2 linked regions of the Astyanax mexicanus genome follow. The protein of the gene in region 2 interacts with the protein of the main gene of each other region in a biochemical or structural test. Links are inferred from orthologs where the notes say so. Each region holds a gene or a part of one and is shown on either strand. Other genes may lie near its edges. The genes, in order: ribonucleoside-diphosphate reductase subunit M2 and rrm1.

Region 1 (16,274 bases), on a different chromosome or scaffold from region 2:
TTACACGCAGACTCGTTTCCTTTGTCACGTTAAAAGCGTAAAACGCCCGTCAGGAGAGGCGAGGAGCTGTGTTTGAAAGACTGCGCTTTAAACCCGGCAGTAAAGCGCTTTAAATGTTTCTCCGCTTTTGTTTCACTTTATTCGCTTTCTATTTGTATTTTTTTTATAGCACGCGTGCTCCCTCCGTGAGCTCGTGCTTCCGCTAGACGCGCGCGAGCGTCTCAGTGCTCCGCGCGCTCGCCGCCGCGACCTTTCCCCCAGTTCTCGAGCGCCGAGTTCACCGGGTTTACACTGACACCGCTGACTCCTCGGCCACGCCCCCCAACAGCCACGCACCCCGGCTCAGCCAACCAGCGCCCGATCACGTACTGATCACGCGCTGCCCCGCTTCCTATTGGCCGATCTCTGCTACACCTTTGTTTCTGATTGGTGACATGTTACCACCCGCCAGTCTGCTCTGAATTTTGTTTCTGTTTTTTTCTGCTGCTTCTCCGCTCCTCCTGATTCACTCAGCTGAGGCTGGTTGAACCTTGCTGTAAAAAAGTGGCTACACTTATGAGCGCAGGAGCTGCTGGGCGCTCGTGTCGCTTGTCCGCTAGTGCTGTTGTCTCCTGACTGCGCCTGTCTGAGCTCCACACATGCCGACTCTCGCTCCAGACTCGGGTCAGGTAAGTTGAGGCTGTTGTTGTTCTGTACTGGCGCGGCTCCGCCGTCTGTTTTGGTACTTTAACGCTACGTTATTTGCGCAGTGACCCACTAGAGCTAATGAGCACGAGTTTAGTGCTGCTGCAAAGTTGAACGCTGTGAAATGTGCACTTTTACACAGCTGCAGATGTTATTTTTGATCTTGTATCTTCTGTCTGTGTGCTGGTCGGTTTTTAAAGCAGTGGCTATTATTACTCTTGTTTATTTACGTCCATCAGATCTACTCATTCTTATTATCATATGCTTAGCAGTTTCTGGACTTTTATGCTGGGAAGAATGTGCGTTGGTCAGACTGACTTTCACAGGTTGTACACAACTAATTGCACGCAGAGTTCCTGTGTTCTGGTGGAGGATCATAGCCAGTAAAGCCTTTGCCGCAATCAGTGTTGTGCATCCTGCCCTTAGGTGATGATGAGCTGCGTTTGTTGCTACTTGAGATCTTTGCAGCAGTGCCCCATTTTGTGCAGGTTGTGTCCTTGTGTTTGAAAGTACTGATGAGTACTGCTACCTGACTGCATATAACTATATATATAACTTTATATAAAACTGTGTATATAAATGTACAGGCTTTATGTTACAACCATGCCCAACCTTATGGACCTCAACAACAACAGTAACAACAACAACAACAACACAAAGGTGCTGAAACCATCCCTGCTAGTGTGAGACCCTCTGTAATAAATGGCTTCAGTTTCTGGCCCCTGTGCAGGCTTCGTTACAAACAAATGGAGGTGTAGACTGAATTTAGTACTTCCTCATGTGGGTGCCCGCCCTTGCTGCATTTTTTTTTGCATGGTAAACTCACATGGCGGTTTGGTTAGGGGCACGTCACTCTAAAGTCTATTTTTGGCGATGGGAGGTTCCCAGCAGTAGAGTTTAGTGTTGGTGTTGAGGGCTGGGTGTAGCAGCCAAGCAGCAGTGGCGCCTCACTCTCGACATTAATTTCTTTGCTCATCTTTCTCTGTAACTCTTGCATTCTTACAAACAAGGGTTGGTTCCTAAATGGTTCTTGACTTGGGTTTGTAGTTCTAGTTCTAGAGATCCTGACATTATGTCAAAGCTTTTATAAACTTTTTGCTCACACAGTTCATAATAGTCTTAGTTGGCTGGATTTTAAGAAATCAAACCCTTTTTGGTTCCTTCAAGAATCTTAAGTCTTTTGACACCTGTATTTGTGTTAGTGTATGGGGGAATAGGTTTGGAGTGACATGAAACTAAGGAGGCAATATGAGAATATTTCATCATAGTGTCATTATTTAAAAGCTTGTTGTGGATGTCAATCTGATATTACATCAAATGGTATAAAATGGACTAAGGCACGACTTATAGTATTTTATATGTGGCACACTTGGTCTAATTTAGCAAATGTTCCACTAAATACTAAATATTGTGATTATATTATTATATTGTGATTATATTATTTTTTACCATTATACTAAATTTTGTCTTTCTCGATTTTCAGACATTATTAGCCATTGATAGTAGTATATTAAGGTTCATTTAAAATAGTGCTTTGAAATAAAGACATGTGACTGACAGTAAACCGGAACTAAAAAAAAAAAGTTATTTTGAGTTTTTCTTTATCTATTGATAACATTCACATTTACTGTAGTTAAATACATGATTATCTCTGCTATATTCCAATTGTGAGTCATGTATTGAGCTCTCTTCCCAACATATTAACATTTCCATCTAATGTTTCCTGCTGCAGACCAGTCTCATGGACATCTGTGAGGTGATAATGGAGAGGAACAGGAAGGACAGTGAGAAGTCCTGCTCCACCACACTGCAGTACCATGACCTTGAGGCTGCTGAGGCACTGGTGTGCATGAGCTCTTGGGTCCAGAGGTCACCCAAACCGCGCCCGCTGACACCCACCTCCGACTCCTGTGACTCGCTCAGTCTGCACCATGAAATCCCCCTGGAATCCCCGAAAGACCTGGTGTCCCTCTCTTCACTAGTGAGTATCAAATAATGAAACATTTCTGGGTTATATGATTATATCACAAAAGTTAGTAAGAAATGCAGTCAGACATTTGATCACATGCATTTAAACATAATGATAGAGAACGGAGAGCAAAGTTATTACAGAATTGACAATTTCAAAAAGAGTTCAAGCATGTGAACTGAACTAAACTGAATAAATAAACATGCTGACTTAATTTTCTCTTCTACCCCAGTGCATGACCCCACCACACAGCCCCAGCTTTGCTGAGACTGCTACAACTTCTGCCATCATCACCACCATGACTCCTCTGGCTGGGTTGGGTCTCAAACCGAGTGTCTCACAGCCCAGAATGTGTCCCGTACTGACCAACGTGGTTGCAAGCCATGGCAGCACCACATTCCTACCAAACACTCTTCCACCACCACCACCACCACTACCCTCTGAGCCACCTTGCAGGGCCATGGCCACCAGTGTCATACGGCACACTGCAGACACATCTTTAGATCACCACATTCCATCCCCTTCCACAGTACAGGAGAGGCCAGGACCCTCAGAGAGTCCTGTCCAACAAAGTGATTCCAATACCCAGGTTGCCATACTGACTGAAACACAGGTATGCAGTAGTCCATGTACTACAGCAGAAGGGGAACAAACTGTCCCCTCACCCAGTTCCTCAAACCCTGTTTCACAGTCCTCCCACTCCATGCCTACAGCCCCAATAGCCAGCCCTCCAGTTCTCTGCCAGGTGTTTCCCGTGAATGGGCAGACTGGCATCATCTCCGCAATCGTTCAGACACACGTTCAGATGCAGGCCACTGGGCAAAAGCCCATTCTCCCACAGTCACCCTCTTTTTCTCAGCCTCTTCTTGTGGGGTCTCCAGTGGCTCAAGGGACCGTGATGTTTGTGGTCCCCCAGTCTCAGGCCCCTCCATGCCAACAAAATGTTGTGACTGTTGGCAGCACCAAACTCCTGCCCCTGGCCCCTGCCCCGGTTTACATGCCCCCAGGTCAGAGTGGGGGCACCACACAGACAGACTTCTCTCGCAGACGGAACTACGTCTGTAGCTTCCCAGGATGTAAGAAGACCTACTTCAAGAGTTCTCACTTAAAAGCCCATCTGAGGACCCACACAGGTTGGTGTTAAATCACGTTCAGCAGAAAGTGCTGTGAACCTTCCCTATGTGCTTTACAGTTGTTTTAATCACCTTGAAAATAAAATTTTAACATACATTAACCTCTTTTTCACAAATTGTACAATATTGTTTTTTTTTAATAGAATAAACTAACACAATTGATTCTGAATTGTCCAAAAAGGTGGATATTATTAAGACATCCAATCAGGGTTGTTTTTATTTAGTAGGTGAGCACTATTACGTGCTGCTCTAACTCCAACTCTTGTTTGTGTTCCTTAGGTGAGAAGCCTTTCAGTTGCCACTGGGAGGGTTGTGACAAAAAATTTGCACGGTCTGATGAACTTTCTAGACACCGCCGCACGCACACAGGGGAGAAGAAGTTTGTGTGTCCTGTGTGTGATCGGCGCTTCATGCGAAGTGACCACTTGACCAAGCATGCCCGTCGTCACATGACCACCAAGCGGTCCTCAACATGGCCCACCGAAGTGCGTGAGCTCAACAAAATGGCCTCCTCCCAGACGCCATCTACACAGTCTTCTCTTGCTCTCAGTGTCCTCTTACCTGCCTCAACCTAGGCCAAACCTCAGGCCACTCCGTCACCTCAGGACAATATCCCACTGACCATTTTACAGTGGAAACAGAAAACCAAGGCTGCTACACATCCATGTACAAAACAGACTGACCTTGCACTGGATTTTGTTTTGTTTTCTACCATGGTCATTTATAAGGAATTATTGTTTACTTTTGTATAAGTTATGTCTCCCAAACTGTATGCACTTCCTTTGCCAAAGTCTTTGTGTCAGTTCATATTACTTATTCTAAACCGTTGTATATTTGTACATAAATTATAACTATCTATATGAATGTAATGTGTATTCAAACATGCATTTATTGACAATATATGAATAAATGTCTCTGTAAAGTGAACAGTATTCCTACCTGTGATACTACCTATCTTCCTTTGAATATTATTTAATAATGAACATTTGAAGATTCAAATAAACCATCATGCTTATGATGTGGTGTCTGTTTCATTTGAGGAAAATAAATTATAGTTGACAACATATAGCAATATGCTACCAAGAATTTGTTCTACAACCTATTTTTGCCATGTAAATTTCCACAAAAATAGGTAAAAATTGTGACAGAAACATCACTTCATGACGTAGTTAGCCTAGAAAATATGTAATGTGAATTTTGTTAAGAAAGGCACCCAGAAAGAAGCGCAAAACAATAAGTTCATTATGCAATCCTACACTGAGCTTTGCTGGATACAGTTACACAACACTCGCTCAGCGCAATCTCCCCATAACACCCAGTAACAAACCTCGTCCAATCACATCACGCCGTTGTGGAGCGGTTAGGGGGCGCGACCAATCAGGAGCGACCTGGGGCCGTGGTGCATTAACTGATTGGTGGATTTTGAACCCGCCCAGCTGCCTTACTGACCGATATTCTCACACGATGAAGGAAAATTTGCGTAAAGATGAAACCGCCAGATGAGGGGAAAAATAACTGACGTAGGTTTCATGTTTTAGCTGCTTAGCGCTACACCCAAAAAATCTATATACGCAGTTTTTAAATAGTTATAATAAATAGATAAAAATAAAAAGCTAAAATATGAAATGAAAGCCATTTGGGATTAAACTGGGACCCGAACAATACCAATACCAAACAACGGTGTCAGCTCGTTTTATTTAATAATTTAAAAATATGTACTAATAAAAATATTTATCTTTTTTTTTAATAAAAAAAAAAAATACAAATAATAAATACATATACATTTATTTTTATTTTTAGCTAAACACTAAAATTATAAATATTGCAGCCCCTGACAGTCAAAACATTTAGCATAAACATGTAAAAAATCTCGATTACATGCAAAGTCAACGTTTTGTACCTACCCACAATGTTTCTTTTCTGAGAGCAGGGGTTATACAAAACCGTGCATAATAAAGATCAGTGGCTTTACATCTACACACTACAGAGACCGCACGCTTCGCTATGCTGTTTACACTAGCAGACTCGTTTCCGAGACAGAAGCAGTGGTGTTATCACTTCAGTCTCTAGATTAGACTAGATTAGCACATTATACGTAATTCCATCACTGTCCTCTGAGAAAAAAAACACATACTGAGGGGAAAAACAAGTCGGACTGGGCTATTCTAACAGGCCTCATCTAAAGTCACAGCGACGCGCGCCCCCTGCTGTTACTGCACCTCTACTACACATGTGCACAACACCTCTTCAACATCACTACACATGCAACTGAACAACTGTTCAGTATGTGCCCGCTAATCTTCTGTTAAGCCAATAGTTGTTGGAACACTGATGTGAGGACTTGATTAGAGCAGTGGTGAAGCCAAGTATTGACTCTAGTTTTCTAAAGGGAATTTTATCCCTCAGCTGGTTCCAGTAGTTAAATGTGCCTTTACACCATTCTTATTCCACCAGCAAATCTATTCTATGGAGAATGCACAAGTGTATGTGTATTTTACAGCAGCAAAAGTCACTTAGTAGGAGTGTCTTGATCATTATGTACTTGTTATTATGAAAAATGTTAAGAACTACTGCTAAGGTCCAGGCCCTCTGCTCAGCAGCCAATCTCCATCGAGGGGGTCAATGTGGAAGTGGTCAAGTCCTACAGATACCTTGGTGTGCACCTGGACGATAGGCTGGACTGGTCAGTGAACACTGACTCCCTCTACAGGAAGGCCCAGAGCAGACTGTACTTCCTCAGAAGGCTTGGGTCCTTTAACATCTGCCAGAAACTCCTGCTGATGTTCTACCAGTCTGTGGTAGCCAGCGTCCTCTTTTACACTGTTGTGTGTTGGGGAGGCAGCATCAGCAAGAGGGATGCTGGACGACTGAACAGGCTGGTGAGGAAAGCTGGTTCTGTGTTGGGACTAGAGTTGGAGTCCTTAACACCACTGGCAGAGAGGAGAGCCCTCAGCAAGCTGCTGAACATCATGGACAATGTTCACCACCCTCTGCACAGCACCATCACCAGGCAGAGGAGCTCATTCAGCGGCAGACTGCTGTCCCAGTCCTGCTCCACAGACAGACTTCGAAAGTCTTTTGTCCCTCAGGCCATAAGACTGTTCAACTCCTCTCAGCACAGCAAACTGAAGACTCTGTGACACCTTTTCTTTCCAGCAATTCTGGCCACACCATGGACATACCCCCATCTATGGTCACACTATCTTGCTGATGCCCATAACACTATTTTTATAGTTCTACCCTATTTTGCACTAGTAGTTCATTCACTAGTTCATTCATCTACTGTTTACGTATCTTTTGCACTGCTAAATTTAAATTATTATATAACTGTGTTTGCACTTTCTGTATGGCGGACATCAGTTATCCTTATACTTACTTTATGCACATCAACTGGTGTTCGCTGTCTATTGTGTTCAACTGCACTACCTCCATTTTACATCACACACACACACTAAAGACTGTACTTTTATAATTTCATTTTATTTTTTATTTTGTTGTATTTATATGTATCATTTATATATTTTTTTATCTTTTTGTAACTTTGTGTACTATACACACCTGCTGCTGGATGTCAAGAATTTCCCCTCGGGGATCAATAAAGTATCTATCTATCTATCTATCTATCTATCTATCTATCTATCTATCTATCTATCTATCTATCTATCTATCTATCTATCTATCTATCTATCTATCTATCTATCTATCTATCTATCTATCTATCTATCTATCTATCTATCTATTTGGTTTAAACAACACATGGTCTGCAAATGTTTCCCTCTTCAAGGTATAGAGCAATATAAACTAAACAAGATTAATATAAGATTGAATGGGTATAAGAACAAAACTGTTTATTTGTGAGTTGAGGGTATTCATATTGTATTATTTTTTTTATTTACTGAGATGGAATGAGTAGATGTGTTAATGATTCAACAAAAGTGACATACAAATCTGACCTTAAGGATGTTCTATGGCTAAATGCAATCAGATCCTTACAACCAAAAAATCTAACATAAAGCCTTCTTAAAAGAGTATATGTTCTTACTGAAGTGAAGAGAACAAATCGGCTATTAACACCCTTATAGACATCTTAACATGTGGTGTCTTTAAAATATTAAAATATGAAATTTTTTCGGTAGTGCCCAGCCCTGGAAAAGCAGTTACTGTAAATTTCACTGTGATTTTGCTAGACTGTAGTTGTTGTTCTCATTATTTTATATTTCCGATACAGCAATCATCTTTTCTAAATAGAATGATCTTAAGCTCTAAAATAAAAAAGTCTTTTTGCTTTTAATACTAATAAATTACCAGAAGTGGGCCCTGAACATTTTTACAATTCAAGTTAAAAGACTGTATTTTTTCAAAGCATAATAAATTTATTTCTACACACAGAAATGTGTGTGGTACATAAACTACTATTTTCACTGTTGCATGCTCTCTAAATATTTGCTGCTTTGTGTCTGACCCCATCTCTCTAGGTTTCTTGAGATTTTATTTAAAGCAACTGATCCCAGGAAGAGATGATCATATGCTAACATATGCTAGTTTTACTCAGAGAGACTTTAATACTTTTACTCTGATACATTTTTATGTGCTGCACTGTTACTCGTTACAGTTCTAAAAATGTTACAAATTGTTCCAAACCCACACTATCACTAAAGCTACAGGGGTAGATGGTAATGTTACTGGGTATCAAGCAATCAAGGAAATCTTATTCAAAGACTGTGCTTCTCCCGTTCTGCTTTTCGCTTAGCAAAGTTCACAGCTTTCTGTAAGAATTACATAACACAGTACTGTACTTTTAACTACTTGCAAAAATTACTTTAGTACTTCTACTTAAGTGTGGAGCTTAAAGAACATTTATACTCAAGTCTGTTTTTTGATATAGAACTTGTAGTGTTACCTAAGTCTGGGTCTCTAGTTCTTTATTTTAGTACGAATATTTTTCTGATACTACTGCAGTTCAGTTTGTTGTCTCAGTACTTGTAGTTTTGACCAGCTGATTTTGTGGTTTTACTCTTTTTTTGCTTGAATTCCACATACAGTCGAGACATTATTTTACTGAGGTGGCATTACACATCAAAATACAGCTCTGGAAAATTTTAAGAGACCACTTATTAATGATGAGCTTCTTTGATTTTACCAAATTGAAAACCTCTGGAATATAATCAAGAGTAAGATGGATGAGCACAAGTCATCAAACCAAACTGAACTGCTTGAATTTTTTCTACCAAGAGTGGCACAAAGTTGTCTAAAAGCAGTGTGTAGGACTGGTGTTGGAGAACAGGCCAAGATGCAAGAAAACTGAAAAAAAAAAAAAAAAAAAAAGGGTTATTCTGCCAAATATTGATTTCTGAACTTGTTTTCTTTGCATTATTTGAGGTCTGAAAGATCTGCATATTTTTGTTATTTCAGCCATTTCTCATTTTCTGTAAATAAATGCTCCATTTTTATTTGGGATTTGGGAACTTTTGTCTGTAGTTTTTAGAAAAAAAAAATAATTCAAATATATACCTATAAATAAATAGCAATATCAGAGAAACCGATGTGGTCTCTTACTTTTCCAGAGCTGTATTTTTCAGTGTAAGGGTTAGTGTACTCTCCACACCTGTTTAAACACAACTTCATGTGTAACTCTTCCTCTGTTTGGCTCTTTTTTGCTCTGCTGCGTGTGAAACCTCCTCCCTGCAGAGGGCGGTACTCGGTACACAGCGCACTTTATCCTTTTGTTTGTGTTGCTGGGCTGGGGAACAGCTGTGGTGATGTTTGGATTAAACAAAGAATGTGTGTTTTTAGGGGATTTATGAAGAAATCGTGTAGCTACGGTACCTTCAGCTCAATGAGTGTCTCCGCTGTGACTGTTGTGTAAGGTTGTCAGTGGCGCTGTGTTAACTTGTAAACAGGAGCAGTGGCTCTGTGTTGGTGAATCGCGGGCTTTAGCTAACCCGGCTAAAGCTTAGCTCAGGGTAGTTGTGTAGTCGTTGGCTTGTTTTATCTTGTTTTTTTTAAATATAGGGCCAGCTCCTGTAACACTATAAAGATTAAAACTCTTCTGTTCAATAGTGCGGCTTTAATGTACAGTGACAGCGCAGAATCACATTTTATAAACGCTCTATAATTAGGTTAAACTAGCTACTGCAGGAAGGCTAGCTTCGCGTCCGCGCCAAATAACATTATTATTCTTCGGACATTTCTATCTTATCTCGCGTAAATAACTTAGTCCGGCAACTACTAAACACTAAGAGTTAATAAATAGCGAGTTAACCTGTTTTCACTGAACTGTTCTAATCAGTACTGTGTGTTGTGTTAGATCTGCTGTATTATGTTTTTCTTACCAATCTGGCGGGAATTCGCGAACCAGGAATGTTTTGTCATCACATAAGAAAAGCAATTTATAAAAAAAAGACAATACACTGAATTATCCTATTTCCCCTCATTTATGATTACAGTGCATGTCTGCAGCTACTGATCGTTTTTGTTATATATATTTAGTACTATATCACTTCATAACCCAGTGTATGTGTGACCTACATTTATAGCCTGCATCCATACTTGGATTTCCTTTACGTTTTTTTTTTAACGTATAAGCACATTTACGATTAAAAATGTAACTCTGTATATTTAAGGTGCATGTCTCTCTAGCTGCTGATTTATGTGTGTCTATATTATTTCATAACCCAGTGAGCGTGATTCGTCCGCTTGTTATAACCCAGCTAACTAACTACATCCGTACAGTGAACTTCCTTATGTGGGGGTTTTAAACGTGTACCAAGATTAAAACACAAAATAAAACACAGATTTCCCCAAATGTTATGTTAAGTTATGTTTAAGGTGCATACATGTCTCTATTTATGTATTAAGTAACTTAAGTCCATAACCCAGTGTGTGATTCTTCCTGTGTTTATACAGCCATACTTTTACTTCCGCATCCACGTTGTAAAACGTATAAATAAGTACGTTTACGAAATGCTATTAACTATATGCTGTTTTGCACACGTGTGTTTATTACTGATCGGTAGATAAACTGGATAGTTTAGATATTTAACCTATAATGCGCTTTTCGCGTAGAACAATGACAGGGAGTTGCAGCATGATTTTTAAAATACATATATATGTAGCGTTAAGATGTAAGCTAGGTTATGGTGTTGCATTATAAATTTCTAGCGTATTTATATGTGTTTATTTGTCGATGTGAGCGCGTTTAATGTCAGTTTAAGGTTATATTAAGGTTATATTTTTTATCCGAAAGCGCGCCTTTTTTACACAATCAAATTTTACTGCCGTGTTTGTGAAAAGGAACACACACCCGGCGCGTTTGAAAGTTCCCGCGATCTGCAGCTGACGCCTCCGCTGCTGATTGGCTGGTGACAACAAAAAAAATTAAATGACCTCCGGGAGCTCTGCTCCTATTGGCTGAGCCGGATCGAGCGCCAAGAACTGAATAAAAAGGGAGCAGCGAGAGACTCTCCTCATTTTAGTTTCTTCTCTGCGCTTTAGGCTGTCGCTTGCTTAGTCTCTGCTTTTATTTTACTTAGATCACTTTTTACGTTTTTAGTTTTCCTTATTTTACTGCTAGAACAACGTTTTCTTCTTTTCCCCCCCTTTTTTTTATCTCAGAACTACACAATGCTGTCCACTCGCTCTCCTCTCAAATCCAAGCATGAAAACGCTGTTTCTGCTAAAATGGGCTCCATGGGGCTGGTTGACAAAGAGAACACGGTAAGAACGGGTTTAATTATTGAGCTAATACTATTTATTTATTTTTTTCCCCCTTTTTTTTATGTTTTCAGTTCATGTGTTAATATTTTTGTTAATGGCACGCTGGGGATACACCGGGCTGTGTGTGTGCGTACAGTTAGAGTGTTCTAAAAGACCTGTTATTGATGCAGTAAATATCAACTAATGCAGTTAATTTTAATCTAATATAAGTTACCTGTCTTTGCTCTATAGCCACCAAGTCTGAACACGACCAGAATCCTGGCTTCCAAAACGGCGCGTAAAATCTTCGATGACTCTGAGGTGAGTAAACTTTCCAACCTGAGGCATTTTTAGCTAACGCTAGCACGCAACAGTTAACCTACAGTTAACTAGCTTCTGTGTGTATTGTGACCCAGCAGCAATATTACACAATTCACTTGTTGGTTAAAGGTTTAAAATAATTATCTTGTTGTGCACCGCTGATTTATAGTTAGTTTCATTTGCACAAAAACTGTTTTAACAAAAGCTCCAGCAAGGCTAACCTCCCCCTCCTCATCACCCCCGCCAAACAGCTGACGACGTCCTTTGGCGGCAGAAAGCTAACCCGCTAGTTAGCTTAGTTAGCCTATTGTGTAAACCTGTTCAGGCAGTCCTCTTTTTTTACTTTGTTCAGCCAAACCACACGTTATTTAAAAAAAAAAGTACTGAAGACATCGCCTTTTTAACACCATCATTACCTTCTAAGTTAGTGTTAATTCCATAGCGTGACTACCATAATTTTACCTTTCTAGTCATCTATGGTAGGTTAGTAAGTCAAAGAGTGGCCTTTCTCAAACCTTTTTTTAGTTCGGTTTTTCATTTAAATTAACAAGCATCAGTTTTTGATGATGGTAGCAGAGCAACTTAATCAGTAACTAGCTATTTGCTTTGTTAGTTAAGAGGTGTTTGATACATTTGCTCAAATATATATTAAAGTAGTTTTATCTGTGACTAAGTGTAACTTTTACCTTGAATTATTTGGTTATACAACTTTTAGTGCATGCAAGTGGTTCTGGCTCTGAAGTACCTGATTTGGAGACTTTCCAAATAGTTCTGATTGTATGACTATACAGATGATCTGTAGCTAGATGGCTGTAAACTGCAAGCTGTTGTGTGGTTTTAAATGATGATAAAAAAAAATAGTAACCAACTATTATGGGTATCGCATTAAATACCTTAATTTGGAAACTGTAGTGCACTACAGTATGTATGGTGGTAACTGTTTCATGATCAGGATTAGTAACTAATTGTTACTTAAAATGATGGATCCTTGATGCAAATTATGCAATCATTTGTACTAACAAAAAGGCTGTGCATATAGAACATGGTCTACTAAAGGTTCGGACTGCTGCAAGGCTAGATATTTTATTAAACTACTTTGTATTTTTGCTGTCTGTAGCTGCACAGAAAAATGAGTGTTTAATATTTCCTTTTTTCTGATTTTGTATAGGACAGGCAAAAAACAAACAAAGCAACTGTGGAGGAAGAGCCCCTTCTGAAAGAGAACCCACGCCGCTTTGTCATTTTCCCCATTCAGTACCATGACATCTGGCAAATGTACAAGAAAGCAGAAGCTTCTTTCTGGACAGCTGAGGAGGTATGCTTCTGGCACTTCTGGTGAAAGTCTGCAGCCGTTTAGATTTCATTATTTGCATGTAAGATATCTGTTCTTAAATTTTGCTGTCTCCCTCTGCAGGTTGACCTGTCCAAGGACCTTCAGCACTGGGAGTCCCTGAAGGATGAGGAGCGCTACTTCATCTCTCATGTGTTGGCTTTCTTTGCTGCAAGTGATGGTATCGTCAATGAAAATTTGGTAGGTTAAGAAACCTATTCACTTGTAAACAGCTTGCACTTTACATCTTACACTTTAAGTCACTTGTTTTATTCTTATTGGATATTATTTTTCAACACTAGGTGGAGCGCTTCATGCAGGAAGTGCAAGTGACTGAAGCACGCTGTTTCTATGGCTTCCAAATTGCCATGGAGAACATTCACTCTGAGATGTACAGCTTGCTTATTGACACCTATATCAAAGACTCCAAGGAGAGGTTAGCTGAACCTTTCAGTTTCTGTTGTGAGGGCAGTGATGAGAAGCGCAGGGGTACGGACCTCAGCTGATAATGGGAGCTGAGTGTTGGTGTCTCATCCCAGATCAGTAGGCATGTGGTCAACTGTCTGGAGGGCACCAACATGAAACAGTCGCTTTCCTGAGCCCTGAGGAAAAAAAAGTTTAGTTTATTGATTGCCGCTTGCCTTTCTGAGTTGTCACTAAGATTCTTGCGCTGTTTCCTCAGGGAGTACCTCTTCAATGCTGTAGAGACTCTTCCATGTGTAAAGAAGAAGGCTGACTGGGCACTCAACTGGATTGGCAACAAAAATGCTAAATATGGTATTTTTCAGAACCTACTTTTCCCTCTACTTCAGATTCTAAAACATTTTTCAAACATTTCAAATTTTCCAAATACCACATACACATGCCTATATTGCCTATTCTGCTTTAATATAGAATAAATGCAGCAAGAGTATAGAGAACTTTAATTCTACATAGAATGACCATAAACAAATTTGTTGATCCTAGTGCAAAAAGTATTGAACTGGTTTGTATTAGTTTACCTTCCAGTTTAGTTATCTAGTGTGCCCCCTGATATTCTTTTTGTACAATCAGTTGTACACAAATTACTTATCTAATGTACATGATTGTCTTATGTTTTAAATATGGATTGCAATGCGATTCTAATGTAACTTGTTATATGGTCTACAGGTGAAAGAGTGGTGGCCTTTGCTGCTGTGGAAGGAATCTTCTTCTCAGGTTCTTTTGCTGCCATCTTCTGGCTCAAAAAGAGAGGACTCATGCCTGGCCTTACCTTCTCCAATGAGCTCATCAGCAGAGATGAGGTAACTATCTTGCACCAGTTAACAGGCTGTGTCATTAAGATTTTCAGGGTTTTTTTTTTTTGTCTGTCTTTATTTTTTTTTTTGTTTTTTTTTTAAATGTGTTTCTTGTTTCCAGGGTCTTCACTGTGACTTTGCCTGTTTGATGTTCAAGCACCTGATGAACAAACCCTCTGAATCAACGGTCAAGAAAATCATTATGAATGCTGTTCAGATTGAGCAGGTATGTTTCAGCTCTATATATTGAAAGTAAATAACACTTTGTACCTTGCGATCTATTGTGTATTTAATTGAGCAGCAATTAAATTGCATTTGCTTTTCATAAACATTTTAAATGATCCCAAAGTAACTTTTTATGCGGTCTTAACAGTGGGATCTTTCAAACACTTCTAGCTAGTGGTCGGGGTTAACACGTTACAATGAATGGCTTTTTTTTTTTTTTTTTTTATTAAAAAGACTAGTGCATTCTGTTTAAAATAAAGCAGTAATGCCAGGTCACACTACTTCAATGTATCTGTCTTTTGAATGAATTTAAAAACAATATTTTAAACGCCACTGTTTTCTGTTTTTCAGGAGTTCCTGACCCAGGCTTTGCCAGTTAAACTGATTGGTATGAACTGTGACTTGATGAAGCAGTATATTGAATTTGTGGCCGACAGGCTGATGTTGGAGTTGGGCTTCAGCAAGGTGAGAATTGTTTATTGTTGGATGTGTGGCCAGTGCTCGCTATCCTCATTCCTACATTGTCCTTCATTTGATCCCTTTTTCCTTTCTTGTAGATCTATAAAGTAGAGAATCCCTTTGACTTCATGGAGAACATTTCCTTGGAGGGGAAGACCAACTTCTTTGAAAAGCGAGTTGGCGAGTACCAAAGAATGGGTGTCATGTCTGGACCCACAGATAACACTTTCAGGCTTGATGCTGACTTCTAAAGTTTTGACAGTGAATGGACACTTGAAACATTTAACACTTGAAGAGGTGATGGTCTGTGGCCCGCCTCCGTATTTCGCCCGCAACGTAGTCACTCATCAGGACTGCTGGATAGGCACTGAGGAACATTGTAACCGCAAATTCACTCTGCAGTATTCATTCATTTGGGCATATGTGGTTAGGTTTTTTTTTTTTTTTTTTTTAAGAAATGTTTTGGAATATGCTAATCCCAAGTGCAGTAAAGGTTTTAGTTTTGTGTTTTATTGTATAAGTTTCTGCAATTGGTGCTGGTTTTATTTATAGCTTGTACAAACTGCGTTTCTTGCTTTCCTGTTATTGCTTTACCCTGGTGAATGTCTTAATGCATTTAAATGTGTAAATAAATTTTTGATAAAATGTAAGCTCTCCTGAGCCATTTATTTTGTAGTGTAACATTTTGTATTAAATAATTGGTCACTTTCATGCTATATATGCCTTCAACTGTTCTGGTCAAGCATTTTAGTACATGTTTATGAAGGTAAATAGGTGTTGCTTGATTTGAAGACTTGAAGATTTAAAGGCAGCATTGTAAAATTTCTAATGCTTGGGCTCCCCCTACTGCCAGGGTGTGTAATTCACACTTTGAGCTACCCCTAAAAGACATGCATTTCTGGATAAGCTGAGACTCATTTAAAGAGTGGATGGGAAGCAAGTGGTATTGTATTGCATTTATTTTACTGGGTTTTACACATGCCAAAACTGGCAGTGTGCCAAGTCTGGGGTGTGGTGATCTATTACAGGTCCATGGTGCATTAGTGTGTGTGTGTGTTTGTTTTTTTTTGTTTTTTGTTTTTTTTTGTACACCCATTAAAAAAGAACAGCAGATTGCAAACATGGAAACTTAGTGCTCCATATATTTATAGCTGTAATTATCTGGAGCACTTCTGGCATGG
Region 2 (15,847 bases):
AATGCTAAGTTTTAAGTAAAGGTTGACTGCCTGGCCACAGCATTGTAGACCATAAGTTACCAAGTAACTTTACCAGATAATCACTGCAATAAAGCAAATCTGGGCCATTTTATTATCTATCAGGACACATATTAACTCTTTGTAGTCAGTTATAAATATATGTGTAAAAAAATTACCTACTAGCAATCATAATACTTTCTTTTTTTTTTTTAACAATTAACTAAATACCAAAGGAAGGGAGCCTGGGCTGGAAAGACTACACAAGGAGTTAAGGATAGGGAAACATGTCCAAAATTATAAATAAATGATGCCAGGAAGCAAAAAGAAAAAGTAATTTTTGTGTAGTAGATATGTTGTTTTAGTGTTAAGTAGGGCTGCAACTAATGATTATTCTGGTAGTTAACTAATCTGATTATCATTTTTTCGATTAGTCAATGATTTTTTCTGCCATGTCCTCCATCTCTAAAAACAGAATAAAAAGTTAAACATGAAATTTAAAAGGCATTTAAATGTCCACATATTGTTTAAACATGGAGAGTACTGATATTTAGTGGATACATATGTAATCTGTTGTGTTTGAGCACTTTGAGACACAGACCAAGTTTCTTCTGTTCCCAGCACTTAGTGTAATGTGGCACTGTTACAAATTAACGATTAGTCAACAATGAAATGTATAGTCGACTAATTTAAATAATCGGCATTGTCGATTATATTGATTAATTGTTGCAGCCCTAGTGTGAAGTGTTCCATAAAAGTATTACTAGCCTCATAATATAAACTGGTTTTATACACAGGCTAATGCTATTAAGATGTTGAGTTATTTGGGCCAAAAACAACCTTCATTTTTCAGACCTTATTGCAAACTAGGCATTGGCCATTTAAATAGCTGACAACCAATCTAACAAGTGATCTCCAAACTAAACATTTTAGTTGCATGGAGTCTGGACTGACGGGGATTTTGGCTGATGTTTAAAGGCACATCAAGAGTTGAAAAGTAGTCATTACACAGATGAACCCATAAGACAAACCCCACAAATTTTAAGTACAAATCATTTATTGTTTTAACATATAAAACAATCAATTCTTTACAGACTGGACAGTTAATAGTAGATATTCTATGTAAATAACATGCATCAACACTGCTTCTGAAATGTATTATCATCAAATGCAATCATACACAGATCAGTGGAAATCTGTACAGAACTGTTAGGCAGTATAGCCAAGTGAAATAAATATGAAACATTTTATAGCTCTATTTGGTTGATAAGCATTCTATGTACAGCACTAAAATAGAAGATCAAAAGACTGTAATGCATGTCCCACAGCAACAGTATTAGCAACAGAAACCTCATTTGATGCCTTGTATTAATTCAGACAAAATACTCTAAGTGCCATTAATGACTGCAAAACACCTGGCGGTTGATTACGAAGCTCAACATGACAAGGTTGAAGAGCAAGGATGCTTAAGACAAGGAGAAACTTTAAGAGCCACACATCAGGCACTCATCACGATTCTCCAGAGAGCACACCATAGCTGCCGTGTTGCGTTCCTTGATCTCTTCCTCGTTGCTTTTGGTTGTCTGAGACTCTTTCAGTTTCTCCTTGTTGAGGGTGAACTGGATGGGTTTGGCAGCTGGCTTTGTGCGCAGATAATACATGCCAGTTTTCAGCCCCTGTTTAACAAAAGACAATAGTTAAGCTCCATTGCTTGACTGAGTAATGCTCTATTATATACTGTAGATCCAAAGCGATTATTAACCCACCTGCTTCCAGCCATAAAAGTGCATGCTAGTAAGCTTGCCATAGTTGGGCTCTGCAATGTGGATATTGAGGGACTGACTCTGGTCGATGAAAGCCCCTCTGTCAGCAGCCATCTTGAGGACCACCTTCTGAGAAATCTCCCATACAGTCTTATACAACTCCTTCAAGTCATCTGGGATTGTGGGAATACCCTACAAAAAGAAGCCCACCAGAAAAGTCAGAGAACAGAAAAACACAATATAAAGGCAGGAACACAAATTAAAATACATTATTATGCTCACAAATTACAAGTCTTCCCTTCCTATGGAGTTGCCATTGTGGAGATGTAAAGATTTGTCACACTGATAATATTCATGTGACTGTTAGATTACTTAATCTAATCTATTTATAGGATCTACTGGGTAATATGATTACTTTCTTAAATATTTAGCTTGTTCTTTTCATACACTGTACCTACCTGGATTGAACCATTGTGAGCAATCAGCTGGTTCTTCATGTCTTCACTCCACAGGCCTCTTTCTGTGAGATCTTTCAGCAAGTGAGGATTTACAATCTGAAAGAGACAAACAATAATTGGTAAGTAAGTATATACATATATATTAAAAAAATTATGATTATATATATAAAAAATAATAATACCCTATAAAACATAGTAGCCCTGTTACAATAACAATTGACAATTTACTGATCGTTATATTACAACAGAATAAAAAAAAAAAAATAAATAAAAAAAACACTTTTAAATGTCACCTTGTCATGTAAAACCTTTAAATATCCTGAATAAGCAAAATGTTTCCTTTTGCTAAGTAAGCACAATGGGCAATAGACAGATCAGTTATAATTGAGGTTATATCCATATATTGTACGATCATCTTAGAATGTAATTAAGAATCCTTCCCATCAGTCACACACACACAACAAATGTGAAAGATGTGGTAAAGCAAATCATTTTACCTGAAACTCCCCAGAGAGCACTCTGCGTGTGTAGAAATTGCTAGTGTATGGCTCAATGGACTCATTATTACCCAGAATTTGGGCTGTGGAAGCGGTGGGCATCGGTGCAAGCAGAAGACTGTTACGGATACCATTCCTGCAAACCAACCCAAGAAAAGCTCACAATTAGGCATGTTTTTTTTTTTTTTTTTTTTAACATACAGAAGTAAGAGACCTACTGAAGACTTGACTTACTTGGCAATCTTCTCCTTTAGCTCCTTCCAGTCCCACAAGTCTGTTGGGGTCTTCTCCCACATGTCATATTGCAGGATCTGAAGATAAGAGACAGAGGGTGTAAATCTCTGATACAATAAACACCAACACTAATTTAAACAAATCATATAAATCTATGCTTAGATGTATGAGCCTTTATGTGCAAAGTAGTCTTGTGGTTTGGACACTTACGCCTTTGCTAACAGGAGATCCAGCATAGGTTTCATACGGTCCATGCTCAGCAGCCAACTCACAGCTGGATTCCAAGGCAGCGTAGTAGATGGTTTCAAAGATCTGTGTATTGAGGAGTTGAGCTTCTGCACTTTCGAAAGGGAACCGCATGAGTATAAAAGCATCAGCCAGGCCCTGCACTCCAATACCAATGGGCCTGTGGCGCTTGTTGGATCTCTCTGCCTATTGAGAGATGAGAGAAAGGGTACCGGTAATCATTTTGAAAAGAGCAGGTTTATAAATCATAAGGTAAAGGAACCTCAATATTTAGAAACATCACCCACAACTCACCTCAATAACTGGGTAATAGTTGATATCAATGATTTTGTTCAAGTTCCTGACAATGACCTTCGTTACAGATGCTAACTTCTGGAAATCAAATGTCCTGTCAGGTGTCACATACATGTTAAGTGCGATGGACGCCAGATTGCACACAGCCACCTGCAAAATTCAAAGCAAAAGTATAAGTTAGACTTTCGTTGAACATAGAAAAAATATGTAAATATACCTGCAAAAAAAAAAAAAAAAAAAAGAAAAAAAAAGTAAAACCTCACCTCATCCTTGCTTGTATACTCCACAATCTCTGTACACAAATTGCTGCATTTAATGGTGCCGAGGTTCTGCTGGTTGCTCTTCCTATTGCAGGCATCTTTGTAAAGCATGTAGGGAGTGCCAGTCTCAGTCTGAGACTCAATAATAGCATACCACACCTGCTGAGCCTTCACTACACGCTTTGCCTTGCCCTCCTGCTCATACCTGCAAAAAAAAAAAAAAAAAAAAAAAAAAAAAAAAAGCATTGTTCAGATAAGAAAAAAAATTACGAGTTTTATTTCTAAATAGTAGTAGTAGTAGTAGTTTCAGGGTAATTTTACCAATTATTTAGAGTCAAAACACTAAAATTTTTAATATGCAAAGAGTCTAGTGGATGGGCCAGAATCACAAATGGGTATTTCACCTGGTGTACAGTTTTTCAAACTCTTCACCCCAGCACTCATCCAGACCTGGACAGTCATTTGGGCACATAAGGGACCATTCCTGGAAAAGCAAGTTACAAATTAATTATATTAACTGCATATTTTAACATTAGCATATACAGAGCTATTTTCCCCTAAATTGCTGCACTTACCGCATTGGTCTCCACTCTCTTCATGAAGAGATCAGGAATCCACAGAGCATAAAACAGGTCTCTGGCCCTCTGCTCTTCTTTACCCGTGTTCTTCTTCAGCTCCAGGAAGTCAAAGATGTCAAAGTGCCATGGCTCAAGGTACATGGCAAATGCTCCAGGCCTCTGAAAAAAGGCAGATAAGGATTGCTTAAGTTGTGTCCAACACTGAGGTTAACAACAAAAATACAATCTGTCTCTCTCCCTCACCTTGTTTCCCCCCTGGTCAACATAGCGAGCTGTGTTGTTGTAAACACGGAGCATGGGAACCAGTCCATTTGAATTGCCATTTGTCTGAAAATTATAAAACAAACAAAAGATAAAGTTGAGATCTTTATTTTTCCCCACTGTCCCAAAGAATTCCCAAATTCAAACCTTAACTGGAAAAATCTGACTTACTCCTGCAATGTAGCTGCCTGTAGCTCTAATACAGCTCACTGCAACTCCAATGCCTCCTGCAGATTTGGAGATCAGGGCACACTGCTTCAGGGTGTCATAGATCCCGTCAATGCTGTCGTCACGCATAGCAAGAAGGAAACAGCTGGAAAAAGGAAGGAAAAAAAAATCATGATAATTATACCTGAATATATTATACAAAAACCTCATTACATGTAAGGATTATATAAGTCTCCTGCACCCAAGTGCTACAGAAAGAGGTCAAACAGGCTTAACGACAAACAGTCTAAACCTTTAGGAACACAACTTTCAAAACTTGTTTTACTTTACAGTTTATAGCTTTGTTTATTTTACTGAACTGCCCTCTTATGTCCAAACTCTGAAATGCAGGCATATTTCAACATGTTTCATCAACAGCAATATGTCTCCCTCTGGTGTATACCTGGAGAGCTGAGGCCGGTTAGTGCCTGCATTGAAGAGTGTAGGAGAAGCGTGGGTGAACCATTTCTCAGACAGCAGGTTGTAGGTCTCAATAGCAGCAGCAATATCTTCCTTATGGATCCCAACTGCTACCCTCATCAGCATGTGCTGTGGCCTTTCTGCAACTAAAACCAGATGCAAAAAGACAGTGAGCAATAAACATTTGACATTGCTCATATTTAGAGAAGTCTTCAGGAATCAGTAAAACATTTATTCAAATAACTTACCCTTTCCATCAATCTTGAGCAAATACGACCGCTCCAGAGTCTAAAGAAAGAACACACATTCAGTTGAGGTGAGTAATTTGTAGAATAACTATCAAATTTGTTTTTAATAATTAGGCAGAGCACATCAAATATTCATTAGAAGTTATTTTCAAGACTCAATTTACCTTGAAACCAAAGAAGTTGTAAGAGAAGTCCCTGTCGAAGATGATGGCTGAATTGAGGCGCTGTGGAAAGAACCAAGGAAAACTAGGTATTAGGGGAAAAAAAAAAAACCTTTACAGATCAAAAGAAAAACAATAAATGCTTTATCATTCTTACATCCTTATTAGCCAAGATAATGTCAAGGGTGTCCTTGGAGATCATTGGGGAGTGTCGTCCATTAAGAGGATTAACGTAGTTGTAAAGGTCCTCCATAACCTCTGCAAAAAGCAAAAACACAAAATATATATATTTTTTTTCCGCAAGTAATGTATAACAAACCTCTGGAACTCTGCAGGAAATATACACCAAGCCGGTCAGATTACTTACCACTAAATACCTTCTTTGTCTCCTTGTGCAGGTTAGACACTGCAATACGGGCTGCCAAGATGGCATAGTCAGGATGTTTAGTGGTGAGGGTAGCAGCGGTCTCTGCAGCCAAGGTGTCCAGCTCTACAGTGGTCACCCCACTGTACAAGCCCTGGATCACCTTCATTGTTATCTGAGTCTGGAAACACAACAGCAGAAAGGCATATTGTTAAAACACATTGTAAACATGTTTTAATAATAATAATAATAAAAAAGAAATTCTATTAAACAGATCAGACAGTCTAAAGCTGTGAACATATTGCAATGTCAGTATGCAGGTTTTGAGGTTGTAGAACGATACAAAAATCTCACAAAGAATAAATAGCCTATACATACAGGATCAACAAAGTCAGAGTTGAGTCCATAGCAGAGCTTCTGGATACGTGAGGTAATTTTGTCAAACATAACACGCTCCTGGCGTCCATCTGCAAATAGAAAATAGGCATTTTTAGTAATACAGAACCTTAGAAAAGTTGTGTTTTGTATCAATAGTCAATATTGACCAAGCTAGCAATCTAAGATAAGAGATAAGATAAGAAAATCCTTTATTAGTCACACAGTGGGCAAATTCACAGTACTACAACAGAAAAGTGATAGCAAGGCACTCAGTATAAAATAAATGTATTATTTTAAAAAATAAAAATATTATATAAAATAAACAGTACCATATAAACAATAAAAAGTCAAGAACTCTTAAGATTGTATTTACAAATTCTGTTACACTGAACAAATTTAATTTTCTGTATGTGTGTAGCGTTTAGGTGTGTGTCTAGCTTGCTTCGAACCAAACTAGGTCAAACATGGAGACCTTATTGTTCTAGTTTAGTATTCACTTGTTTTGCAGCAAACATGATTATAATTACAAGATTGCAAAATGTGTTAAGGGTGTGTACCGCAATCAGATTTTAAAGAAGTTTGTTTTTATATGTTTTTTTTCCTTTATGCTGAGAACTTGTCAAAGTTTTTCCCAAGCTCAGTACCTTACCACCAAAGCTTTAAATACAAGGTATTTAAGTTAATTTAGCATTTAAAGGCGCAAAGGTTAGAAAATAAGACATTATCTTGTGCTAAATTAACTTGAAGTGAGAGGGATTAGCCAGTTAACTAGCTAACGAACTCGGCCAACAGGCTATTTGGCGCCAACCACACTGACAACAAAGGAGGAGTACTGCAGCATACAGGAACAATGGTGATAATATAGCGAAGTTAGCTATATAACTGTCATCTAAATGCATGTTTTATTTAGCATAAATAATATTTAACGGATTTATTAGCTGTTCATGTGAATAGTGGATAAACCGGAGACTTTATTCTGAATATTTGCTGGAGCTAACTAACCTAGGTTAGCTATCTAGCTTTCTTTACTGGGAACTTCACACAACTATAATTAACCTAACTATATTTATCATTTAAACCACTTGTCTGGATTTAACAACAGTAAACACAGGTTTAAAACAGAGCTAATAGAGTAAATATATCAGAAAGCAAAGCTAGGACTACAGTAAAGCTACAAACATATATAGCTAGCTAACTATATAGAAGTTCACTGCCAAAATAACGTTAGCTAGCTCACTTATATTAACTGTTATAAAACATACATTACTAGCTATATAAAATGTCAGTTAGTTGGCTATTTAAAGCATAAAGATTAATATAGGGCTATTTAACACAGCTAACCTAACCAGATTAGATAAGAGGCAAAATAAGAGGCAAAAACACACTCACCTCGCTTGAGGACGTACATGTTTACTTATATTGTAAGGAAAAGTGCAAAACTGGTACAAAAATGACTATTATAACAGAGGTACTGTGTATCTAACTACTAGCTTGGGCCTGCCGTCCAGCACTGACCAGCTGATGCAAGAAATAAAGCGCGAATGTCTTCAAACCGTGACAGAAAACCTCCATGCTTAACTGCGAGGACCAATCAGAGGAGGGCTGGGGGCGGGACATCCTGATCTGCAGCCACTGGCAGCTTTACTGGATTAGATAAATTCTAAAAACAGTGAAGGTGACCTACTATTTATCATTCTTCCAGTCTTTGGAATATTTATGTTGTAGTGTGTTATTTATTGTGAGATAATATATTTTATGTTTGTTGAGAAAGATTTAGGCTTGTGGACATTAAAGAGTCCACATGGCTACTTTTGCTTTGTAATGCATATTGTAAACATGTGGATGGTGCTATAAAAACAGCAGATGTACGTATAAGTAGGTATTAGTCTCTTGCAGAAAAAAGTTTAACACAAACAGACAAATACACTTGCTTCAAAAAAATAAAAATAAACAAAAGAAGGAGAGGGCGATAAAAATCGCTTCAATATAGCTAACTTGTGTACCCATGTGAGTTATTATTGGGAACGATTTTTATACGCTAATGCAATATATACTGTAATGTGAGACTTAACTATTTTTAAACATACTTGATAATAAGAATTAATAAGAAATTACATTTTTGAAATTTGCCGTTTTGTTTATTTGTTTATAGTAATTTATTAGTAATTAGTATTGATTAGTAATCATACTGTGCATTGTTTTTATATAAACAATTTTTAAATACTATTTTATAATAAAAATTAAAAAAAAAAAAATACTAAAATAAAAGAGACCGGACTTCTTTCTGTTTTCTGCGTGGCGGAAGCAGATGGTATTTTATGTGGCGGGAAATTTGAAAACCGGCAAAACTCGATGTGAGTGAGATTGGCGGGTGTGTGTGTGTGTTTGTGTGTGTGTGTGTGTGTGTCAGGAGCTGGAGTGGGGTAGGGTATACAAACTGACACAACCATTGTTCCTTCTTCATATTTTACAAAGCAACACCACAACTAATACTAAGTCCCTCAGTGCAAAATAAAAAGAAAAATCCTTGAGATTTTTATATTGATGTTTATATACATCATATAACATATATTTTATTATTTTGACATTAACTGTCAGTACATTTCTCATCATTTCTGTTCTCTTATGTGTTTGAACCTAAATAACGAACCTAATATTTTTATCTGGACATGTAATATGTTACATAATAATACACATGTAATATATTTGTATCCTGCACTTAATTTGTTGTTGCAGCTGTTTTATCTGGTAACATAACAGTTTAAATATCTTTAAAATGTTTTTTTACTATTCTGTTAAATACTAGAATTTAAAAAGAAAAAAGCAAATGACAGGCCCAGAATAGCCAGATGTATCAGATATATTGTTTAAATGTATATTATTATTGTATATAAGTATTATATACAATAATAGTGTGTGTTTTATCATCTGACTATATTATATTAGGAATGCTAAAATACTGCACACTGACTCAGATATGACTGGTTTCCTACCTGGTAACAGCATTTCTGAATGTTTCTGAACACTTCTTCCTCTTTTTTACACCTCTTCCTTCTTTGTGTTTTGGAGAAACTGATGCCAAGAAGAGGAGGAGTTCATGTGAATATTTTAGCCACTCCCACATGACCATCTTCTGACAGGAGAAGGAGTTTCTCTGAACAACAAAACCACTCCCACAGGGTCACACACACACACTCACACACAAACACACACACAAACACACACACACTTCCTTCTTCGCAGAAGGAGGAGCAGTCTTTTTGAACAACAGAACCACCCCCACACACACACACACTTCCCACAGAGAAGGAGGAACCTGTCTGAGCATCACCTAGAAACAACAAAACACACAGTCATAAAGTACAGTGTGAACCTTTATGCAATTACTAACTGTCACTACAGAACATAATTACACAACATACAAAACTAATAAAACACACTTAAAGATTAATATGACTTAGAGAAATTATATATTTAAAATGGCAACATTGGCACTTATGGCCTTTAGCAGAAAATATGTGAATAGACTAGAGTTCAAGTAATTGTAGACAAACAAGTACAAGTGTACTGCACTAATACATCAAACAAAACATTCACATAGCCAGCAACTAAACACACAAACACTGCATTAAAGTAAAAAAAAAAAAACAAGAAAAAAACAAGATGCATCAGAATGTACAATACACTACAGTGTTTAATGTGAGATATCTAATCTTTTGTGTTTTTTTTTAGAATTAGGTGTTAACTCATGGTCTATACAGTCACTGGCCTATACTTCATACTAGCAAAGTTGCAGTTTCCTGCGTGGCTTCCTGTGGAAACGAGAGCAAAATGCTGTGCAACACATATCAGTCAAACAGAAGAAAAGCGGCATATAGCAGCTTTTAAGAGAGATCTGTGTTTTTTATACCAGGAAAAAGGCTTCCTTTATTTCTTTATTTAATTCTTTGGTTATTTACACAGCATATATAAACTTGTCTTTTTGTTATTTGAAGTTTATTTAAAGACTGTAATTGGCAGACAGACAGATAAGCAGGCAGACATATGGATATACAGGCAGAAAACCAACAGATAAATGACAATTAATGACAAATTAATAGACAGGCAGATAGACTGACAACAGGTAGACAGAAAGACATGTAGACAAACTAACAAATAGACAGGAAGATGTATATAAATGGATATACAGGCAGATGGAAAACTGACAAATAAATTAAGACAAATTAATAGACAGGCAAGAGACACATAGGCAGACAGATTGACTGAAAAGACTGAAATGTAGACAGACAGATATGTAGGAAGATTAACAGATAGATAGGCAGACAAGCAGATGGACAAACTAACAAATAGACAGACAGGAAGATGGATATAGATCCAGGCAGATAGAAAACCGAGAGATAAATTAAGACAAATTAAGCGACAGACAGGTAGACTGGCAGGGAGACATATAGACAGGAAAATTAGATAGATAGATAGATAGATAGATAGATAGATAGATAGATAGATAGATAGATAGATAGATAGATAGATAGATAGATAGATAGATAGATAGATAGGAAGAAGGAATGCTGTATAGGAGGAGTGGGTGTGCTCAGGTGTATAATGGCCTGTTTATAGGGGTGAGGAGAGAGAGGTTCCTCCTCTCACCTCTCTCTCTCTCTCTCTCTCTCTCTCTTTTTGTCTCCTCCCCTCCCCAGGATCAAACATGGCGAGCTGAACTGTACACCTGCGCTGCTTCTGCTGCTGCTGCCGGGCTGCTGTGAGTTTGTGGGGCGGAATGTAACTTTTCTCGCGGTGGTTCATCACTGTTAGTCCGGCGGGTCCTGAACGGGCGCGTGTTTGTGAAGCTGCTCCGCCGCCTCGATGAAGCCTTTACCGGAGCCATGTAACAGCGAGCATCAGAAGAAAGGCTCGAGCGCCGCTGCCCCTGGGGAGATGCCGAGCGCGGAGGAGGCGAAAGCTCCACCTGGAAACACGGAGCTCCGCACGGAGGTGAGCCGGCCAGAGACCTGCCCTTACCGGGGCCCGGGGTTTCAGCCGTTTCTGGTTATTAAACTTTATTACAGTAAAGAAAGTGTTAAACCTGGACAGCTGTAGTCTGGCGGTTTTGAGTGGGCTTGTTTGGTTTGGTTTGGTTTTTACTGACTGGGTGAGGAGGTAACTCAACCTGTTTGACCTCATTCCTGGAAAAGTACAACAAAAAATAGGAAAATGTGTATCAACAGAGACCACTGTTTTTATTCCTTTAATACTGCTTCAAAAAGTAGTTTTTAGCACAACTGGCTTTACTTTAAGTAAGTACCACCACTAACGTTACAGTGAAAGTGAATGAGGAATTTAGCGTTCAACTAAAAAACAACAACAACAACAAACAGTCAGGCTATATTTTGTGCTGTTTTTATTAACTATAACTGTTTGTAAACGTTTATTAAATGCTCCCAGTCAGAATTAAGTTTCAATTAAGTTTTTGATTTCACGAGGCAGTGAATTATTTCCTAAATAAATAACAATATGTTATGAGGTAAATGAAAATATAAGAAATGAAACAGACAAATAACAACACTCAAAAGTGTAAATAATAATAATAATAATAATAATAATAATAATAATAATAATAATGATTATTATTATCATAAATTAAAATAGTAATATGTGTGGTGGCTACACAGTATAGTTGATGGTCAGAAATGGTCTAGACATGGTCAGTTTACAGAGTGGTCAAAAAGTACCAGAAGTGGTCAAAATAAAATTTGTGCGCTGACCTTTATCAGGAATTTTAACTTAATTAAATATAAACATATGTTTTATTTTTATATTAGTACATATTAGGCCTACCACAACACCCTACAATATATTTGCACAACCTCAATTATTTTATTTAGAGAGGAATCACATTATATTATGTTTTTCTTAGCGAAAACAATTAATGTGAATGGCTGGAATGTTCCTTTAAAAAAAGAGTGGTTTAATTATATTCATCCATTAAAATTAATTAATTAATTAGACTTAAAAGTTCATATAATTGTAATTTTATGCAATGAAATTATTATGTCATTATATTAGTGGCATTAAATGGTCTTAAAATGACAATAATATTGTTTAGCACAATTATTTATGGGGCAATATTTAGTTTTTGCCTAGTTTAAATTTGGCTTCTCAAGGCAGTAAATTATTTACTAAATGAATAACAATATGTTGTGAGGTCAATATTCAACAAGTACAAGAAGTGTTCAAAATAACAAAAAAATAACTTTTGTAGCATAAATTTGAACTGAATTAAATCTAAACGTCTTTATACAGTTGTGAACAAAACACTCCCAAACTAAACTTTTGGGAACAATAAATTAGACCTAAAATTCTCTAATCATTTAAATATTTTTTTTATTACACTCTTCATAAACAAGTCATTTGTTCATGGCATTTTAGCTTTCTGACTGCTATTTATTGCGTCTATTTTCCACTTTCATTCAACCCTATAAAGTAAATAAAGAGAGCTATGATGCAGTGTGTGTGATAGGCCTACAGTGTATTTATCTGTGTAGCTCTGACAAGTTTCCTCTTGCCAGCCATTGTGTGAAGAAACAATATCATGGTCTGCAAACCAGAATGACTTCCCTTTCATTAGAGTGCAGAATCAAATACAGCATGCTCTGGTTCTCTGGTTCCTCTATAGTTTGCTAATGTAAGTATCACGCCTAATTCACTTCAAGGACAGTATCAGTATCAAGCCATTTATTTGGCTCCTCGGTTGAAACTAGAATTCAATGGCTTCTTTTATGTGGGGAGATAGATGACTAGCAGTCAAGTTAAGGTTGATCCTCACATTTAACACTGTATACTTCATACATGTGTTTGTAATAGTAATGTTGTTTATTTTATTGATTTCTTTTGAGAACTTATGAATTATGTGCATTTAATTCAACAGCTTCAGGTAAAGGTTGAAATAACATGAGATTCCTTGTATGTGAAACAGTAAACACAAATTGAGTGGGGTTTGACTCATAGTTAAAATACATGCAAATATGTCTCAAGGTGGAAATGGGTAAATTTATTGTAGATCATTTTATTATCGCCTTATCATACAATATATGGACATGAACTCAATACATTTTACTGACCACAATATTACATAATAATACTAATTAATACTATTGGTTAGTCTTTTTATTTAAATGATGTTTTATTTGTTTAAGATTTGTTTATTTTTTAATATTCCAGTTCCATTGTCTGAATTTTTTTTAAATATTAATAGTTCATTACTTTTTAAAAGAGTATATTTGTGTTACTTGTCATTATATTACTTGTCAGTGGCATAAAGTAGTCTCAAAAAATGATTTATTATGAATTTCTAGGACAAGATGTCCCAAAATAGGTATTGTGACATGCCTAATTGTACATAATAAAATAGTAATATCTTTTTAGTAACTACATTTTCATTCTAAATTAATAATTAGTGGAATTGAATAAAATTGTGGTGATAATTATTTTCTAAAGAACTGTAATTAAGTTGTTATTAGGAACGAAGTTTACATCCCCACTCAATGGTGTAGAGTTGTGTGTAACACAATTATTATTTTTCTCTCTTTGGTAGAGTCCAGCACAGGTGAATGGCTTCAGTGTTCCCCAGAGCAGTGTGACCGGTGCTGCTGCATCTTCCCCACCCTCTCCGGCTCATTCAGCAAACCCCCAGCTTCCCAGAGAGCAGTGGGGCGGCAAGTACGAGTTTCTACTCTCCTGTATCGGCTACTGTGTCGGCCTGGGAAATGTCTGGAGGTTTCCTTACCTTTGTTACCGGAATGGTGGAGGTGAGTTTTCATCAATGGGATTGAACTTTGCATCTGAGCAGAAAGTGGGATATAATTTAGTCAGCCTGAATCGCTTTTGATAGGCAGAATAAAGTAAAGCAGCACTGCTTGGCTTCATGTGTGTATTTACAGTAAATATAATCTCTCTGCCATTCTTGTTTTTACAGATCAGTAAAGCAATATGGTCTGCATATAAGGTTGAAATAGGATAAATTTAGTAGTAAGCAGTAGGGCAAAAATCATGATAATTATAAATAAAGTAATTTTTATATTACACAGTAAATATTATATTTTAATTTGTAAATGAAATGGAATATTAGTATCAGTAAAAAAATATCATCAAAAAGTGTGGTGACTTTTACTGTGTCTCATGGGAGCTATAGAATGATGCACTGACCTGTGGGATATGCATTTGGGATACGGGTGTCTGTACACAGATAGTAGTGACGGATGCTGCCGATCACAATCATTACCCCCCATTATTTCCATCACATATTCTCAGTACACATGTCACATTTAGGACTGAAGAATGACCTTCAGAAATGGAATTCCCCATGCATCTGGCACCCACTGTCAGGCCCTGCTAAAACTCCCATAATTCACATCATATTGCCATAAACACATTGGCCAGTGTTCAGCCTTTATCACAAGTTAACACCCAATAACCTATACATGTGTAGGTGTTCCCAAGCCATCCCCTGGGGTAACACTTCAAAAACTCAATTAATAAAATATATAATATATAAAATACAAAAAAATAACTTATCTTTATTAATAACCTTTATCTTCCTTCCAAATAGCATGTGCAATCTGACACTAGTTTTGCAACTATTTCGTTGACAGTGAGTGTAATATAATGTAATATGTTATCTTGCAGTCCTATCACGAACAAGAGAGTAATTTGCTCTCGACAGGTTGGGTAGCACCCATAAATTATGTTGTTTGCATGTCAGAGGCTGTGGGTAATCCAAATTAAGCTCTGGTTAGGGTGTGTTTCGTGACATTTGAAATACAGTCTTCTGCAAAGCCTGACATGGTAATCAAAATGTAAAAAAAAAAAAAAAACAGTACAATTTTTGCTACTGTGAGTTTTATGTCACACAGGCAGGGAGAATGTGGATTGTGGACAAACACTTCATTGTATGTTCTCAATCACCCACCCAGCATCTCCTACATTCAACTGCTACAACTGCTACATTCTGTACCAGTGAAATGCCAGATTTGAAACTATAGTAGCACAGTGACAGCCTGTGACAGCCTGTAAGCAGATACCAAAACTGCAGTCAGCTTCACACACTTACACACACTCAGACGCACACACGCCCAGTCCCTCCCAGTGTCCTGTAAGCTCTGTAATCCTTCCAGAATGAGCTTGGAGAGCTTCCAGTCTCTCTTGGGTGTGGTCTACACGTGTACATTGTGTCTTGTAATGGAAATGATGTTACTGCTGGTAAAGTTTTTTCTTTTAGTTACAGGTTTCTGTGGCAAGGTTAACAAATTGAAACTTGATGATCTAAAAAAAAGAAAACAGTCATTTCAATTTCTTACAGCTTGATAAAGATATTATATCAAAATCATTACAAAGAGCACCACTTCCTCATTCCCCATGTTTATAAATACTTCCTGTGCAAGAGTGCATCATAACTTGGTGCATTTGTATTTGATGGATTGAAATA

Evidence for each region.
Region 1: the proteins of rrm1 (region 2) and ribonucleoside-diphosphate reductase subunit M2 form a complex in vitro, tested with the Homo sapiens proteins (3 studies listed by BioGRID and IntAct). The link is inferred for Astyanax mexicanus from reciprocal best matches to the Homo sapiens genes RRM1 and RRM2.

What each region holds. Positions count from the first base shown.
Region 1 is NC_064408.1:76,108,847-76,125,120, forward strand, and holds ribonucleoside-diphosphate reductase subunit M2, read left to right. Parts: upstream 1-9,589; 5' UTR 9,590-9,608; intron 9,609-11,400; 5' UTR 11,401-11,409; coding exon 11,410-11,502; intron 11,503-11,733; coding exon 11,734-11,802; intron 11,803-12,970; coding exon 12,971-13,117; intron 13,118-13,216; coding exon 13,217-13,333; intron 13,334-13,434; coding exon 13,435-13,568; intron 13,569-13,597; exon of another isoform or gene 13,598-13,736; intron 13,737-13,814; coding exon 13,815-13,909; intron 13,910-14,281; coding exon 14,282-14,415; intron 14,416-14,530; coding exon 14,531-14,635; intron 14,636-14,985; coding exon 14,986-15,099; intron 15,100-15,191; coding exon 15,192-15,344; 3' UTR 15,345-15,738; downstream 15,739-16,274. Other genes in the region: klf11a (Krueppel-like factor 11a), read left to right, coding at 639-668, 2,417-2,665, 2,886-3,786, 4,066-4,361. UniProt on the Homo sapiens protein: Provides the precursors necessary for DNA synthesis. Catalyzes the biosynthesis of deoxyribonucleotides from the corresponding ribonucleotides. Inhibits Wnt signaling.
Region 2 is NC_064424.1:10,473,756-10,489,602, reverse strand, and holds rrm1 (ribonucleoside-diphosphate reductase large subunit), read right to left. Parts: upstream 7,914-15,847; 5' UTR 7,775-7,913; coding exon 7,756-7,774; intron 6,456-7,755; coding exon 6,367-6,455; intron 6,170-6,366; coding exon 5,992-6,169; intron 5,883-5,991; coding exon 5,782-5,882; intron 5,688-5,781; coding exon 5,628-5,687; intron 5,504-5,627; coding exon 5,464-5,503; intron 5,362-5,463; coding exon 5,199-5,361; intron 4,902-5,198; coding exon 4,760-4,901; intron 4,655-4,759; coding exon 4,571-4,654; intron 4,487-4,570; coding exon 4,325-4,486; intron 4,234-4,324; coding exon 4,154-4,233; intron 3,955-4,153; coding exon 3,753-3,954; intron 3,640-3,752; coding exon 3,490-3,639; intron 3,382-3,489; coding exon 3,160-3,381; intron 3,027-3,159; coding exon 2,950-3,026; intron 2,852-2,949; coding exon 2,716-2,851; intron 2,315-2,715; coding exon 2,219-2,314; intron 1,953-2,218; coding exon 1,764-1,952; intron 1,674-1,763; coding exon 1,482-1,673; 3' UTR 1,037-1,481; and 1 more. Other genes in the region: slc6a7 (sodium-dependent proline transporter), read left to right, coding at 11,230-11,358, 13,958-14,171. UniProt on the Homo sapiens protein: Provides the precursors necessary for DNA synthesis. Catalyzes the biosynthesis of deoxyribonucleotides from the corresponding ribonucleotides.